2 linked regions of the Drosophila melanogaster genome follow. The protein of the gene in region 2 purifies or fractionates together with the protein of the main gene of each other region. This does not show direct contact. Each region holds a gene or a part of one and is shown on either strand. Other genes may lie near its edges.

The links. The genes of interacting proteins can lie anywhere in the genome.
Region 1: the proteins of Grip128 (region 2) and gammaTub23C purify together in Drosophila melanogaster (affinity purification with western blotting; 3 studies listed by BioGRID, with this or other methods). This does not show direct contact.

What each region holds. Positions count from the first base shown.
Region 1 is NT_033779.5:2,971,284-2,975,403, reverse strand, and holds gammaTub23C (gamma-Tubulin at 23C), read right to left. Parts: upstream 2,514-4,120; 5' UTR 2,346-2,513; coding exon 2,297-2,345; intron 2,239-2,296; coding exon 2,036-2,238; intron 1,976-2,035; coding exon 800-1,975; 3' UTR 546-799; downstream 1-545. Other genes in the region: CG9641 (uncharacterized protein), read left to right, coding at 1-226; Rrp1 (recombination repair protein 1), read left to right, coding at 3,107-4,120. UniProt on the Drosophila melanogaster protein: Tubulin is the major constituent of microtubules. The gamma chain is found at microtubule organizing centers (MTOC) such as the spindle poles or the centrosome, suggesting that it is involved in the minus-end nucleation of microtubule assembly.
Region 2 is NC_004354.4:15,467,742-15,473,844, forward strand, and holds Grip128 (Grip128), read right to left. Parts: upstream 4,379-6,103; 5' UTR 4,299-4,378; coding exon 4,179-4,298; intron 4,124-4,178; coding exon 3,635-4,123; intron 3,526-3,634; coding exon 2,908-3,525; intron 2,848-2,907; coding exon 2,348-2,847; intron 2,281-2,347; coding exon 773-2,280; intron 709-772; coding exon 665-708; 3' UTR 540-664; downstream 1-539. Other genes in the region: CG15641 (uncharacterized protein), read left to right, coding at 165-533; Alg14 (ALG14, UDP-N-acetylglucosaminyltransferase subunit), read left to right, coding at 4,502-5,077; mh (maternal haploid), read right to left, coding at 5,153-6,103.

The DNA of each region.
Region 1 (4,120 bases), on a different chromosome or scaffold from region 2:
TGATGATGATGAAAATGAGAATGAGATGACTGAAGATCATGATGAGGTGGAAGAGGCAGCTGAAGAGCAACACGATGATGTGGAGTTCATTGAAGAGGAGCCGGGCGAGAAGAGCAATGATGTAGAGGTCACTCCTGAAGCGGAGGGCGAGGAGTGCGAAGAGCCTCATCAGGAGGAAGAGAATTGCAACGCTGAGGTGGTTAATGAAGACACATGCTCCTTGTAAGCAAGCCGATGGGTAACGGGATTCATGGTAACGAAAAACTTCCTTGATTTATAAAATGTGCTTTATATATCTAACTCTTTTCTTCTTCAATACAATAGGAACATTTTAAACTGAATAACACACCCTAAACATATTTGACATACGAAATGACATGACAACGGAACAAGGACAGCAGTATCGTGCAGCTTCACAAGTGAATTCTCACTGCAATATCAGTTCATACTGCCTCAAGTCGACATTAACCATAAGGATTTCATATTATAAAATACACCAAAGAAATATGTAATATACTTCTCAATAAACACTCACTACCACATTTAAAAACTGTTTTTTATTTAATGTGTCACATATTAAACATGATCGGGAAATCTCATGTGTAATTTTGCAACAATGGAAATACGAACGTTAAATATCGTAAAAGACGAAACAGCGTTTACATACATGCGAGTCATACCAACAATCGTCTTATCACTACTACTTAAGGATTTCGAATCCCATCGTCATTGGAGAATATTACATTTTAAAATACATTGGTTAAGATGCATGGCACGCATTTCTTCTGGCACAAGCGAACTAGGAACCGGCGCTGGTCACAGATCGACTATCCTCCGACTTGGAGTCAACTGGCCCATTTCCCCGCTTCACTGAAAACTGCATGTAGTCCTCACGCGTGGCTGCCTCATACTCTTGCACCAGGCAGTCAACAGTTTCGCGAGATTCGTCCAGCTCATTGAGGTCGTCCTTGAAGATGTCCTCGCGTCGAAACTGGTCAAGAAAGGCGCCGCGCTTGCGAAGCTTGTCATACTGGTTGAGAGCTCGCTCGAAAAGCGAGCAAATGCTGGTGTGGTTGGCCAGCATCAGTCCGGACACTCGATGGTTGCTCTGCACGTAGGGCGATGAGCGGGAAAGGGCTACCTGGATAGAGGTGGGGCCCCAGGGAATGAACTGGGCCATCTTGCGGTCGCGGATGCGCTGCAGTGACTTGTGCACTTGAGTGGGATCCACCTCGCCCTGGATAATGTTTAGAATGGAGATGTAGCAGTGATGATTTGACTTGTCGGGACCAGTGGACACCATCATGTTCTTGGGCTGCAACAGACGCCGCATTACATCTAGAACAGTAGTCTTTCGCACATTAACCAGCTGCTGGGTATGGATATCCGAATCGCTAGTCAGCGGCGTGTAGCCTGTCATGAGAAAATGCAGCTGGGGCGTCGGGATTAAAGGAGCCGTCAGCCCAATGAGATTGTTGTTCATGTAGGATGGATACCTCAGCGTAGTGGTGCTGACGCTCATTATGGTGGAGACCAGGTTGTTGATCTGCGAAAAGCTGGGATTCTGAATGTGCAAGCGATCGCAGGCAATACGATTAAGAGCAGTGTTGTCCAGGACAACCACACTGTCCGCAGCCGTAGTCAAACGTTTCAGGGTGAGCATGGAGTTGTATGGCTGCACCACTACATCACTGATCTCGTCCTGATTGGGAAACACACTGAATGTTTGGATAAGTTTCTTGGGATAGCGGTCCGCCAGGCGCTCCATGATAAAGGAGCCCATTCCCGATCCCGTTCCGCCAGCAATCGAATGGCAAAGTATAAAGCCCTCCAACGAATCGCTTCCATCTGCCTCACGGTCAATGATGTCGAATACCTCTTCTTGCAGCTTTTCGCCCTGGCTATAGCCTGAGGCCCAGTTGTTGCCCGCACCGCCTCCGTGCTTGGATAGGTACACATTTTCCGGATTGTAGAGCTACGGGAGTTAATAGTAGGTTTGGCGCAAAAAATTAAAAGTTATTTAGAGAGGACTCACCTTGGAGTAGACCGAGCCCATTATGGTATTGATCACCCTCGGTTCCAAGTCCAAGAGCACCGCGCGGGGTATGTAGTGGTCGTCGTCCGCCTGGTAGAAGAACACATCCTTGCGGTCCAAGCCATCATTGGCAAAGTCCTCCAGCACGCCGCTAGGGGAGATGCCATGCTCCAGGCACAATCTTTTCCAGAACTCAAAGCCAACTGCGTTTAAACGATTTTAGCAATGCAGATGGTACTCGTCCTGATTTCAGAAACCTACTTTGATTGCCGCACTGCCCAAGCTGCAAAGTAATTATTTCACTTGGCATTGTGGTGTGTTGTTTCCGGCCAGAATCGTCAAGTGAAGTTTCGCGTTTAAGGTCGAATTAGTCGAAATAAAATAAAACACAACTAAAAGATCGTCGAATTATAACAAAATTTTTAAAAAATCCCACAGCGGGGACGTACTTTGTAATTTTAAGAAAGTCCAGTGTTGATAACACCGCAGCGTTTAATGGCGTCCTCATTTGAAAGGTGGCGCAGTGTGCCCTCTGTTATAAAATATATATGATTACTTAAGACCTTTATTGTGAATTAAATAAATAAAAATAAACATTACATTTTTCTACTTTGTATTTTGGAAAGGCAAAAAAGTGTTGGAAATCTAAGACTATGAGTTAGAAAGATCGAAACATGTCATGAATATCAATCTAATAGTTCAATACTAAGCTTAACTTGAATATAATTTTCTATAAGAAAGTTTTTCAATTAGGTTATTGAGCTCCACCCATTTTGTACTACTAATGACGTCGAACTATTTGTACTACTAGTGACGTCACAATGTGCAATATTTGCTCCACAGTCGTGTTTTTCCAAGGAAGGCACACAAATAGTGTTGTAAGCAGACCAAAGTCAAGCCGACCGGCTTGCAAAAATCGCGTTGCCCGCGCAGTTTTCTTTTTGTTGATATCGGGTGCTGAACCAAGCGACAGTGGCTCTGCAAAACAAGCAAAAGAAAAAGCTGGAAATCTGTGGAAGTAAATACAAGTCATTTTTGAGAACCTATCAGTCCGAGCAGTAGAACTCCATAATGCCGCGTGTCAAGGCCGTGAAAAAACAAGCAGAGGCGTTGGCATCTGAACCCACTGACCCCACTCCAAATGCCAATGGGAATGGAGTCGACGAAAACGCAGACTCTGCCGCTGAGGAACTCAAGGTGCCGGCAAAAGGAAAGCCGCGCGCGAGGAAAGCCACCAAGACGGCTGTATCTGCGGAAAACTCCGAGGAAGTCGAGCCACAAAAGGCGCCCACTGCAGCCGCGCGTGGCAAGAAGAAGCAGCCGAAGGATACAGACGAAAACGGCCAGATGGAGGTGGTGGCCAAGCCGAAGGGACGCGCCAAGAAGGCAACTGCAGAAGCAGAACCAGAACCCAAAGTCGATCTACCAGCTGGAAAGGCAACTAAGCCACGTGCCAAAAAAGAGCCCACTCCTGCTCCTGACGAAGTGACGTCTTCACCGCCTAAGGGACGCGCTAAGGCTGAGAAACCAACGAATGCCCAGGCCAAAGGACGGAAGCGAAAGGAGCTGCCGGCAGAAGCAAATGGAGGGGCCGAGGAAGCAGCAGAGCCGCCGAAACAACGGGCAAGAAAGGAAGCAGTACCAACGTTAAAGGAGCAAGCTGAACCAGGGACAATAAGCAAAGAGAAGGTGCAGAAAGCTGAGACAGCTGCCAAGCGGGCACGCGGAACCAAGCGTTTGGCAGATTCTGAGATCGCAGCTGCTCTCGATGAGCCGGAAGTGGATGAGGTGCCGCCAAAGGCTGCTAGCAAGCGAGCAAAGAAGGGAAAGATGGTTGAGCCATCGCCCGAGACTGTAGGAGATTTTCAATCAGTACAAGAAGAAGTGGAATCGCCTCCAAAAACTGCAGCTGCACCCAAGAAACGCGCCAAGAAAACAACCAATGGTGAGACTGCGGTAGAACTTGAGCCAAAGACCAAGGCAAAGCCCACTAAACAGCGCGCTAAGAAGGAAGGCAAGGAGCCAGCACCCGGGAAGAAGCAGAAGAAATCCGCCGATAAGGAAAACGGTGTAGTTGAAGAAGAA
Region 2 (6,103 bases):
AGGGTTACTTTCTGCTCCAAATATGTATTAGCCTAACATTGAGGTGCTGCAGATTGAAGATTGAAGGAAGGCGGAACACATTAGCGCCACGCCAACCATGAGAAACCAGCTAAACGGGCGAAGCGAAACGAATAGAGCGGCGAGGCGGCAGAGATCAACGGACTATGCGACGGCAAGGAGTGCATTGCTGCTGTCTGGTGGCCATCGCCCTGGCCATGGCCATACGCCAGGTGTCCATGGGCATCAGCGCCAGCGATCGCCGCTTCCAGTGCCTGCAGACGCGACTGATAGGCCAGGCCAACTGCTCGCCATGCGCCGATCTGTACGTCTTCAATCGCCAATCCGCCTACCGGCGCTGCGAGCACGTCAACGGTAATTGCTACCCACATCGCACGGTCTTCGCCAGCGCCCGCATGTGCGAGCTCACCTGCCAGCCGTACATCCGGCGACCCACGCTGCACGAGGTGACCACCCTGCCGCCGCCACCACCGATCGTCGAGCCCTTCGGCGACAGCGATGAGGAGTTCGAGTGAGGTTTTGTCAACAAAGATAAGCTGCTTTTAATTCAGTTGGTATGGGAATGTTTGGTCGGGATTATAGGTAGTGGTGCAGGTGATGGTAATGCGTAATGTTTAACAAGATCCTTTGTGGAGGAGATTCGATTCTAATGGGGCACACTGGAGTTGATGGTCTCCTCCAAGGCAGACACTGCAAGACGAAGTGAAAAAGAGTAAGTTCAAATGTCCAAATTTCGGGACCAACAATCACTTACGGAATCCGTGATCGTTCTGGTGCACCAGCGTGTTAAGGATGTCGGCCAGCATCTGGTGGCAACGTATGTACGTTAACTCGATCTCCGCCACCTGGTTGAGCGCCAGGTACTCCAAGCTACGACGTTGCGTTTCGCTGTCATCAATGCCGTCATCCGAAATGGTGACGTCCAAGCATAGGGCATCGTGGTCGTGCATGCAGCTGGCGCAGGTGGTCCACTCCATGTCCAGCACGTAGACCAGATGAAAGATCTGGTCGAGGGCGACGCGGAATGCCTTAAATTCGTCGGTCAGCATACAGTGTGTCTTCAGCCACGCCAGGTGCTCGTCGTGCATGATACGCAACTCGCGGACATTCTTGCACTCGCCAATCCTGAGCTCGAACTGCCGGCTCACGGCCTCCATAATGTGCGCGTGCAGGTTGTTGATGAGGAAAATTAACCAGAAGCGCACAATCTCCAGGCGACGAATGGTCAGACCGATCAAATCCAGTGGTGCGCAGGGATTGAACCTAGCGCGACGCAAAAACTGCATATTCTCCAGCTTCCAGACGGCCCACTTCACCTTCAGCATCAGACGCCACACCGAATTGTAGTCTTGCATGTGCGCGGGTGTGAGAATGTACCACTGGTGCATGGCCATTGGCCGCTCGAAGTCCAGTTCAATAGCCTCCAGGGCCTCATAGACCTTGATTGAATTCGAGTTTATCTGGGATATTAACTTGACATGAAGATAATGAGCCAATTGCGGATAATGCGGAAGGAGCACAGCGCATAGCTTAGAAGTGAGCACCGAACCCAGTGCCCAGCTATTGTTTTTCTCCATGCGCACGAAGAGTGCGTTGTAGTATGGCACAAATAGGTAGTATTTCTCCAGCAGCATCGTATGCCGCAGGAATCGCATCTTCTCGGCCACCTGCGTTTCCTTGCAGTACGCTCGAATCGCGTACTCGTTCGCCAGCCACTGTCTCCTTCGCAGTATTTCGCGCAGTGCCTCCGGCAACTCAGACTTCAGCTGCAGACATGTGGAGCGCTCCAAGCGCTTCAAAATGTTGGCCATTAGAACGGGGTTGCTTTTAAGCCGCTCACGTTGTCGCTCCAAACGTTGTTCCACCAACGGCTGGGTAAATATGGCGAAAAGTTCATGGTTCCTAATGCCCTGCCTATTGCACACAGTCAGATCTTCGTAGTCTTTGTCCGGCTCCGGCTCATCCTCGTAATCCGTGTTGTCCGCACCACAGTAAACCTTTAGCTGCGCAAAGAACTGCGTGAACAGCTCATCGTGCAGCGACGGCAGTTGGATTTCATTGTTGCTGGTCAGCATTTCGCTCAGCGTATTTACACTACATAGCAAATCTTGCGTTTCGCCAGACTCCAAGGCATGCTCCAGCAGTAGCTGGTAGAGTGGGCAGGATTGCAGCTTGTTGAAGATCTCCACGAGTAGCAAATCATCCTCCATTCCCATATTTCGTTTGCGCACGTGGCTACGTGTGTTCGCATCTTCCTCGTAACTATTAAAAACAATGTAGTTATGACTTCAGCTGGCCAGAGTGATGTGTGAGCACCATTTTGGCTTACCAAAACTCCACGATGAACTCGCGAAGGTGATCTTCCAGCGCGGCCCTGCGCCACCAGCCGTCGATGATGATACAATATCGCTTGAGAGATATAAACAGCAGGGCAGTGGCCAGCTTCTGGTGCGGCACCTGCAGCAAGGTGTGCTTATACAGTCTGGATAGCAAGTAGGCACTGCGTATGTGCGCAGGTCCCTTATCCAGGATGACATCTTCGGCCAGCTCTCGCAGTAAGCGCAGCTGGCTAAAATGTTCCCTGAACTCAATCGTAAAACGGATCAGTGTATTTTTCGCTGGATCCTTATTGACACGATCCTCGTAAGCGATGAGGAGCTGGCAAATGGGCTGGACAAGATCTCTCAGGCCGTATGCAAAGAACTCCACGGTGTATGTTGTCTTTACGCCATGAAAATGCAACGTATGAGTATCGATGATGTGACGCAGTTCCATCATGTCCTCCAGCGCAGGCACCACATCAAATAACAGAAAATTTTGCATTGTGCTCTACAAAAAAAAAAGCCGGACTAAAGATAGAGTTACACATTAACGATTCGACTTTCTTACCGCAGTCACCGTACAAATACTGACATTGTCACGCACAGTAATGCGTCGCGTGGCCTTGTCGAATTCAAAGAAACAACAGCTCGCTGGACGCACAAACATGAAGAGGATCTCCCTTAGCAGACAGGGCTCCGTGATGGTTTTCGGCACTGGCAGGGCCAACAAGCCTCGGGCATTGTGATTCAGAAACTGCACGTAGCTGACGGCAAAGTTGTCCAGTGGCTTAGCACTGGAGGGCAGGGCGTTTAAATGGACATCTTGGCACCACCAGTGGGAATGGATTTTACGGAAGAGCGTATCTGTGTTGCCACTTTGCCAATATTGGGTGAATGGTCGGGGCGGTTGGGGTGGCGGCAACTGGAGCAGCTTGCTTCGTCTCAGATGGCTGCCCTTTAAGTTGTTGAGGCTTAGAACAGTTGGTTTCATTATCCGAAAGTCGTAACTCCGGATCACGCTCTGCTCGGGCGGCATATACGTTTTGTTAACACTTCCAGTCGGAACGACTGCCATCATGGCCTGCTCGTACACCCTGGCCATTTCCAAGAGGCTTCGCGAGACGCCAATATTTTCATCGGGCTTCAGAGTAGTTGTCGAGTCGCAGTCCGACTCCTCCGACCAGTCCTTTTGGAAAGAAGGTAAAGGTATTAGTATGCTGCAAATGATTTTATGGAAAGAACAGGCTACATATGTGTAGCAGATGACATATGTTTGGGGTTCTCTAGATGCTCACACTTAAGCTGTCCGAGCTGTCATCCTCTGGCGGATCCAGAAAATCCTCGGACAGCAGCGCTGCCCAGTCCACCTCCGTTTCGGAGGTATTCTTGGCTGCCTCCAGTTTCGCCTGTTCCTCTATCTGTGCCTGTCGCTCGGCTTCCTCCATGCTATTAATTATGGACAGACGGCGCTGTTCCATGAACTCGCGGTTCAGCCGGATCTTTTGCACCGGCCTATCGGCTATGCGAAACAGCAATTCGAGCATTTGCCATCCGGGGTTAGGATTGAATTGCTGTTGATTTTCGTCCATAGCCAAATACCTGATGGCCAAGTCCTTGATGCTCTCACCAAAAGACGCCATGCCCTCCGCCCGAAAACGCTCTGCCAGATCGTCCAGGTTGCGTTTCACCTCCATGTCCGTCGTTGTAGGAGCCCATGTCCTGCGTTGGTTGGCGATTATCTTCAATGCCGTATCCTCCATCTGGCGCAACTTTTTCTGGCTCGTCTGCGTTTTAAGTTGGTTAAATTGGAATAGGGATAACATCTGTTTTAAAACATACCCCCGGTTCCGACAGGCTCCTGACCAGTTTTCGCACGTTCTCGTTTATGGCGGAGTTGACTGCCGTCGAGGTCTTGCCGGAGCGCTTCCGTAGGTTACCCTTCTGGGCGGGAGGAGCCATTTCGCTCCGCTTTCTGATTGAGATCCAATAAATTCTATAAATGGCGCCCTCAGCAATGACAACAACGTAAATGGTACACCGGCATAATTATCGGTTCAGTTATCGATAGCAATGGAAACAGCTGTTCGTGGATGATCGACAATCGACTTGAAACGTAAACAATTGTAAATGTTGTCATTTAAATTGAGTTTTCGAAGGGCAATATGACGACCAGCTCGCCTCACCCCACCTACGTAATACTGGGCTCTGGCGGCCACACGGCGGAGATGTGCCGGCTGACCCAGGCGCTGCTGCAACAGACAGACATCGAACAGACGGAGAAGTACCAGCCAATTAGACTGATCCTGGCCAACAGTGACTCTACCTCCGAGCGCCAGTTCAGGCAGGTCCTGCCGCAGGCTGCCCAGAGGGCGGAATTCGTGAAGGTGCCGCGCAGCCGCGACGTGGGCCAATCCTGGCTAAGCAGCATCTTCACCAGCCTGTGGGCGCTTCTCTGGAGCTGCTATCTGGTCTGGCGTGATCGCCCCCAACTGATCCTCTGCAATGGACCCGGCACCTGTGTGCCCTTCTGCTATGCCGCCTATCTGTGGCGCCTCCTCGGACGCCTGCCCTCGCACTCCAGAATAGTGTTCGTGGAGAGCTTCTGCCGCGTGGAGACGCTGTCGCTGAGCGGACGCCTGCTCCTTCCGCTGGCGGACCTCTTTGTGGTCCACTGGCCGGCGTTGGCCACGCGCTATTTGGATAAAAAGAATGTGCGATATTTTGGGCGAATCCTGTAACATGTTTTTAATAACATTAAAGTTAACATTAGTTTCTATTTAACGAATTATGTTTTGTATGAGATGTTTTTTGTCCTAGCGCTTCTTGCGACCAGCGCAGACGGATCCATGGACCTTCAGGTGTAGAGGCATGATCTCCAGGCCACATCTGGGGCAGCCTACGGTCTCTTTGAAGAGGTTGCGCTGGCGGCGCTGACGCGGAGTAAGTTCGTCCTCGCTAGACGGCAGAGTAGACGAGTCGGTAGAGGAGCTCAGGTTGAGCTTGTCGATCTCCCCTTCTGTGTAACCGGAGCTGCGAAGAATTCCTTTTGATGACTTTGCTTTCGATTTAGCGCGGCGTGATGTGGAAGCTCCCGACGAGTCCTTTGAGGTTAAGGAAGCAGTTGTTCGGCGGTTTTTAGGCTTAAACGATGGCGGTTCCAAGCGCACCATAATGGCGCAGCCATCGAAGTGATTGGACAACTCAGTGCGCCTCATTTTCTCAAAGCAAATGGGACAAGATACGATGTCGTTCTCAATTCTTTTGGCGTAGCTTGAGCAACTGGGCTGCACGTCGTTCTCACGCTGGAACTCCTTCAGCAGGGTGTCCTCTCCAAAAATATCATCTATAATGGATTGGTCAGCTAGCTCCGTGGCGGCTGTTAAAGATTCATTTGCGGCCACCTCATCGTCGTATTCATCATCAATTAAGAGGATATCGTCCTCACACAAGGTCAACTCATCCTCCATTACCTGGCGCTTGATGATCTGCGTGCGCTCCTGACTGGTCATGGTTTTTCTGCCAGCTGGCATCTTCATCTCCTCTTCATCACTAGAGCTTTCGACCAAGTTGACGATGGGCGTATGAACATCCCTGACCATTACGTCATCATCGTAGGACTCCCAGTTGATTATCTCGCTGTCGCTGGAAACACGACGCCTCTTTTTCTTATTCTGTCGCTTGTTGGAAGCATCTTCGCTAAAACGCTGAAGTCGAATTTGACGAAGTTTAGCGGAATCGGGAACATCAGTGTCACTAAGATCTAT